Drosophila melanogaster: one gene and its partner. Each later gene encodes a partner of the first gene's protein in a complex. Each region holds a gene or a part of one and is shown in the gene's direction. Other genes may lie near its edges. The genes, in order: Tim17a1 and ttm3.

Region 1 (3,823 bases):
CTGAACAAGAAGCAGGTGGATCTGGATGCCGGCGAGCATCTTAAGCCGGAATTTGTAAAGATCAATCCTCAGCATACGATTCCCACGCTGGTTGACGATGGTTTCGCCATCTGGGAGTCGAGGGCTATACTGATTTATCTGGCCGAGAAGTACGATAAAGATGGCTCCCTTTATCCCAAGGATCCCCAGCAGAGAGCCGTGATCAATCAGCGCCTGTTTTTCGATCTGAGTACTCTGTACCAGAGCTACGTGTACTACTACTATCCCCAGTTGTTCGAGGATGTGAAGAAGCCAGCTGATCCCGATAACCTCAAGAAGATCGATGATGCTTTCGCTATGTTCAATACTCTGTTGAAGGGTCAGCAGTACGCCGCCCTCAACAAGTTGACTCTGGCCGATTTTGCGCTTCTGGCCACCGTTTCCACTTTTGAAATATCGGAATATGATTTTGGTAAATATCCGGAAGTGGTTAGGTGGTACGACAATGCCAAGAAAGTGATACCCGGCTGGGAGGAGAACTGGGAGGGCTGCGAGTACTACAAGAAATTGTATCTGGGTGCGATTTTGAACAAACAATGACGGGTCTGTAATAAATAATCTAATCTGTATCGACCTGTTTGAATAAAGAGTGAGACATTGTGAAATGACAATGAGTATAATAAACGAAGAGTTGTTGGCTTTTGTACAGCGATAAGGCAGAGGATCCTCTGCTCCAAACATTCTGATAGCGATAAGATATTGCTACGTGTCGGTTTGCTGAAATGCCACCTGCCGTGATTTTAGCGATAGCCAAAACAATTAAATTCAAATGGTAATTTTGGACAAACACCTGTACTAATTCATGATTTACGTAAAGTTTAGTTCAACGGGAAGCTAAACGAAATGAAATTGGTAATACAGCTGCACTCTGCTCTTCCAGAAGTTTCTCTTGTGTCCAGTGCTAGCCCAAAAATTGCTGACTATTATCACCTATACCTAATTGATCCATCAGCCCCGAAACATTCTACGAGTATTTTTTGTGGTTATCTTCTATTTCTTATAAAACACGACTAAACCGCAGAGAATTTTTCAGTCGTTTGTCGCGTTTTGACTCCAGCAGAGCAGCCGAGTATATTTGATTACCACGTAGGTATGTATACTTTTGTTGTTTTTGATGAATTTATTATAGAGATTGCGTAACCAGGTTCAGCGAACGAAATGAGAAAGTGATTAGCTGTTCGTTTTTTTTTTTATTCAGTTTCCAGAGATCCCTTCAGAAAGTGAGATAGCGTAAGATGGATTTATACTATAGACCCGGATCTGCTCCCTGCCGCTCTGTTCTGATGACAGCCAAGGCACTGGGTGTGGAGTTCGATAAGAAGACCATTATCAACACCCGAGCTAGGGAGCAATTCACGCCGGAATACCTGAAAATCAATCCGCAGCACACGATCCCCACGCTGCACGACCATGGATTTGCTTTGTGGGAGTCGCGGGCGATTATGGTTTATCTGGTGGAGAAGTACGGCAAGGACGACAAGCTCTTCCCCAAGGATGTGCAAAAGCAGGCGTTGATCAATCAGCGCCTGTACTTCGACATGGGTACGCTGTATAAGAGCTTCTCCGAGTACTATTATCCGCAGATTTTCCTAAAGAAGCCCGCCAATGAGGAGAACTACAAGAAGATCGAAGTGGCCTTCGAATTCCTAAACACATTCCTGGAGGGGCAGACCTACAGCGCTGGAGGGGATTATAGCTTGGCGGATATTGCCTTTCTGGCCACCGTTTCCACTTTCGATGTGGCTGGCTTCGATTTCAAGCGGTATGCCAATGTGGCACGTTGGTACGAGAATGCCAAGAAACTGACTCCCGGTTGGGAGGAAAACTGGGCTGGTTGCCAGGAGTTCCGCAAATACTTCGATAACTGAATATATGAACCCGAAATACTGATAAAACACCTATTATTCGGTTATCAAGAAAAAACTATATATTTAAAGATTAAGACTGGGCTGGATTTCGATAGACATTTCAATAGTTAAATAAAAAAAATTCACTTTTAAAGTTTAATCCGTTTTTTGAAATACAAATTTAATATCATAAAATTGTAAACATCTAGAAAGGACGCAAACGTCAGCATCCCAAACACTTCGTATTATGTTTACTCAAAAGTCTATTTCCAAAACACAAGTTTTTGATTTGAAGCCACTTGAAGAATATTAGTATACCCAAAGGTTTTGATATAGTAAGTCAAGGCCATGGAGTACAATCGCCAGCCGTGTCCCATTAGGATTGTGGAGGATTGCGGATGTGCCTTCATGATGGGCACCATCGGTGGTTCGCTGTTCGAGTTCCTCAAGGGTTTCCGTAACGCTCCTACCGGATTGCAGCGCAGACTTTATGGTGGCATTGATTTGGTGAAGATGAGAACGCCGTCCATTGCCGGCAGCTTTGCCGTTTGGGGTGCCACTTTCAGCACAGTGGATTGCGCCCTGGTCCACTATCGCCAGAGGGAGGATGCCTGGAACTCGATACTCAGTGGAGCGGCCACTGGTGGGATATTGGCAGCCCGTAATGGCATTCGGGCCATGGCCAACAGTGCTCTGGTGGGCTGTCTGGTGCTGGCCATGATTGAAGGAGCCGGTGCAGCAGTGGCCACCATTAATGCAGCCGACAAAGGTGCAGGGATAGTCATCAAGCCGCAGCGGGCCCAGTGGGAGGCCATACTGGAGACTATTGATCCGAAGAGAGCGTCATCCACTCAAGATTTCGCACTGGCGGAGTTTGAACGGGTGCTGGACAAATGTCGGGCGAGCAGGGAACCAAATTTACTTCAGGACATTCCGGTTAAGAGTCACGAGCGAGATTCCAAACAGAAGCCATTTTATTCCCTCTTGGATCTGGTGAAACTGTCCCAGATGTTCTAGTGTTGCCCAAAAAAAAAGGGTTTTCATTTTCATTCAATCTTTCGTTCTCAACAATCACTCATCAAAATTGTGTGCATGTACTAGTTTTCACCGTTCATTTCATGATCGTAATATACAAAACGCATAAGATACTAAAGCTTATCTACTATCAAAATCATAGCATACTTCTTGGCGTCAGAATTTCAAGTTCGAAACACTTTATTTTGTGGCTTTATTTTTTTAAAGGTTGAATAAAACAATGTATGTATGTATTTCCCAATCTATAGATATCCCAGAAAAATCCCACTACTTGAGTAACGGATATCTGGTAGTCGGGAAACTCGACTGTAGCATTTTCTCTTGTGTTATACTTCAAATGGCTCAGCTTGAAACAGAACTTTTTTTTGGTTTTTATAATTCAAATTTGTACAATTATTTCATCGTATGGAAAACAAAACTCGGAACAGATTTATATTCATATCTGCAGCGCTGAACAATATCATACAATTTGAAAGAGGGTTCTTAGGATCTGTAGATTTAATAAAAAGCATTTATTAATATCTAACCTCTACCCTGGAAAAGAGGTATTTATGATTCTATCATAATATCCTTAAATAAATCAATTTAAACGTTCAATGCTATATCAAATTAACAAAAAAATAAATAATGCCGTTGTCCACTTATCAAAATCGTTTCGAATCTTTTATTATAATTAAAGAAAATCATAAATTAATACAAAATTAAGAATTAAACTAGTTGATGAGACAGAACAGAGCGCAGAGAATTGGAAGGTGGTTACCAGGATAGGGTTCATAAGTAAGTATATCATGCAGCAATTTGGCCAGAAAACTTTGCATTCAAAGACAATCGGAGATTAGACATATAGTTGACATCGATCATCGTTCCCGCTGCCGATTTGGGAAATATCATTTTTGGTTTTA
Region 2 (3,451 bases), on another chromosome or scaffold:
TACTGATTACTAGTAAACGTAATCCTTTTTATTGGACTTTATTGAGCTAGTCTGTCTTTTCCACAACATTTGAGTAGCACTCATTTTCGCATAAATTGCGGAACCGATTTAAATACTCCAGCAGACCGAACCAATTTTGAAAAGTGATTAAATTTAACTGGCTAACGAGCTGAACTAGGAAATCAGAAATTATGAACCATGAGAAGGACAAAAGCCAGTATAGCACATAGACGAAGGCAATGACAATGAAGTGGGTATTGCAGGCGGCAGAAAAAGGCGGTACCAGCGAATGGGGATGCAGGAAAGATGGGGAAATGGCAATGGAAGTGGAACTGTAGTTCCAGAAGGACATGTGCCTGCTGACTGCTTAAAATCTGTGCGTCTGCACGCATTACAAACGAATTACGAGACTCGTTGGGCAATTGCAGTTCATTGTTATTTAATATGTCGCCCGTTCAATGGCGGAAGAGACGAAAGGACCAGCAGGAACACCAGGAGCCGAATAGTCAACGAGAACACGGTTGGGAAAATTATACTTTATGGCGCCAGGACACTGGATACCAGCACAAGGGAGCAGCAGACGCAGGCGGCTTGACAGTGATTGCGATACAAACGATTGCCAACGTTTCCAAGTGGATTATTACCTCATGCCAATTATCATATCAACGATACACAGGCACAGGTCTCGGTAAATGGGCAGAAACACACACTGAGCCACACTCGAAAGCGCAGGACACGCCAGGACGTGGCACATTGGCTGACAAGTGAACCAGCCCAAACTTCCAGCGCCCATCGCACTTTACGAGGTGTTGACTGTGTCGGCATCTGGCAGCTTCTGTCGCTCTCTCTCTCTCTCTCTCTCTGTCTCTCAATTGGGCTCTTGCGGAATTGCATGTACAATTTTAAATGGATTTCGATTGTTTATGACAAATCGACTATCTGAACTGGCATTGCTTGATTGCGACCAGCTCCTCTACCTGGTGTCCTGCGTCCACCTGAGCTGCTTATGTATGTACGTTCCGATTTACGATTAAGTCAAATTAGTAATTATATATTCAAAAGGGATGTGAGTGCTGTTCATATTTGGTAAATCAAAAGAAAACACCTCTTTACGAAGTAAAAAGCAAGTGACGAATAAAGCGTTGGATACGGTAATTATAATCAAACAGCATATTACGTACGTATTAATCGGGCTAACAGCTGCTTTTATTAGAGGGCCGGCAACCGTCCTTCCAATTTTCGTAGTCAAAAGGTAACAAAGTCAGCAAAAATTTTGTATGCGTCTAGTCCAAGGTAACATTAATTTTGGCCCTAGGATAAATGGTCCCACCTACGTTCCATCGACCGCTCAATCGCAACGACAAGGAAAGAGAGGGCTGCGATGGGCTCTTCTGAGGGGGTTTGATCGTTCTTCCGAAGATTTTTTAAGTCGACGGGAATTCTGGCCATGCATATCTGTCAGTATGTCTGCCCGGCTGTCTGTTCGTTTGAACGTCTAAATGTCAGAAACAATAAATGCTAGAAAGTTTAGATCATGTCCACGTCATAGACGCAGCGGAAGTTTCTTTCTTCAACGGAGAGCAACAAATATTTTGATAAAAAGTGTCGAATTTAAATAAAATATATTTAAATATATGTATATATTTAAATTGTTTAAATTCTAACTATAGTTTCTGGTTGGGATCGTCACTACTTTTTACCCTTGCGTGATGTTTTTTTTTTCTATGCTAAAATAATGTTTGACTGTAACGTTTCCTCTTGTTTTTATTAAATATATAATTACCACGAGGGTATTTACTTTGGGTATATACAAGTTGTTAGATTCGGTGTTTAGTGCTTAGTGTCTTAAGTCAATAAAAAATAACGTCTAGCTCAAATGCATAAAATTGTTTGGTTTGGAACTTTAAATAAGTCGATTGGCTACATCGGTAAAAAGAAGACCTGTCTTCTGAGTCCATGCGAGAAAATATGCCTGAATTCAGCTAGAAAAACAGTACAGAGATGCGACAAAAACTATTCACCACCAAAGTTAAGAAGAATCAAGAATTTCTATACCTACAGTGTTGTGTTGGGGAGTCTCTTCAGTATAGTCATGTGGGCCATCTATAAGCTGGGCAAGCCCGAGGAAGACCATCGGGGTCCCATAGAAGATGAGTTCAGTCAGCTTCCCTGGTTCCGCCAGTACATAATGAGGATGTGGCACACACTTCAGTATTATGAAAAAATGATGGAAGAGCCCCAGATGGCAAGGCTGCTGCCAAATGTTGTCCCACCGCCGTATATACAACCTCCCTATTCACTGGTGCTGGAAATCAAAGACGTACTGGTGCATCCAGATTGGACTTATCAGACGGGGTGGCGGTTTAAAAAGCGGCCTGGTGTGGATTACTTTCTTCAGCAGTGCAGTCGAAATTTTGAAATTGTGATATATACTTCTGAACAAGGTATGACCGCATTCCCCCTTCTGGATGCTTTAGATCCCTATGGCTACATAAAATATCGGCTAGTAAGAGGTGCCACGGACTTGGTAGAGGGTCAGCATACCAAGAACCTCGATTATCTTAACAGGGATCTGAGCCGTGTGATAGTGGTGGACTGTGATCCGTATACCACTCCCCTGCATCCCGATAATAGCTTGGTGCTCACAAAGTGGCTGGGTAACGATGATGATGTCCAGCTCTTTGATCTCACGGCTTTCCTGCAGTTGATTGCCGAACACCAAGTAAATGATGTAAGGGAGGTGCTGCGATACTATCGCCAATTCGAGGACCCCATGGAACAGTTTAAGGACAACCAACGTCGACTGCAGGAGCAGAGTCAGGAAAGCATTCAGAATTTACCAACTAGTGAACGTCAGTGGAACTTAACTTTATTGGGACGCTCCCTTCGAGGGTCTTCAATCAAATAAATTTTCGTTTATGCACCTTATATCTATTGTAGTAACGTCTTGATCTTGGAAACTAAAAAATCTAGTCATTAATCTAGTAATTTAAATGTTCAAAATTGTTTACCTTTTTTACATTTTATTATTTGTTTTAATTATTTTCATTGTTTTGGCAGTTCGACAACCACAGAGGTTTCGATTTTTATATCCGTTACCGAAGTTTAAATTGGTCTACTAGATTTACTGCCAAGCTAAACACAATTATACCCATTACAGGTTGAGTAAAAGGGTATACTAGATTTGTTGAAAAGTATGTAACAGGGAGAAGGAAGCATTTTCGACTATATAAAGTATATATATTCTTCATAAGGATCAATAGCCGAGTCAATCTAGTCATGTCCGCCTGTCCGCCTGTCCGTATGAACGTCGAGATCTCCGGAACTATAAAAGCTAGAAGGTTCAGCATACAGATTCTAGGGACATTGGCGCAGCGGCTTAACTCGAAAGTACGGCATGAGATAATTTTTATGGAGATGAAGAGCTCTGTAGAGATAAATATATTGAAAG

What was found.
Region 2: Tim17a1 (region 1) and ttm3 share a complex: the UniProt entries of both Drosophila melanogaster proteins name them as parts of the TIM23 complex.

Annotation. Positions count from the first base shown.
Region 1 is NT_033777.3:12,362,997-12,366,819, reverse strand, and holds Tim17a1 (Tim17a1), read left to right. Parts: upstream 1-2,139; 5' UTR 2,140-2,234; coding exon 2,235-2,903; 3' UTR 2,904-3,153; downstream 3,154-3,823. Other genes in the region: GstD9 (glutathione S transferase D9), read left to right, coding at 1-579; GstD10 (glutathione S transferase D10), read left to right, coding at 1,275-1,907. UniProt on the Drosophila melanogaster protein: Essential component of the TIM23 complex, a complex that mediates the translocation of transit peptide-containing proteins across the mitochondrial inner membrane.
Region 2 is NT_033779.5:22,077,812-22,081,262, forward strand, and holds ttm3 (tiny tim 3), read left to right. Parts: upstream 1-1,820; 5' UTR 1,821-1,876; coding exon 1,877-2,908; 3' UTR 2,909-2,927; downstream 2,928-3,451. UniProt on the Drosophila melanogaster protein: Essential component of the TIM23 complex, a complex that mediates the translocation of transit peptide-containing proteins across the mitochondrial inner membrane.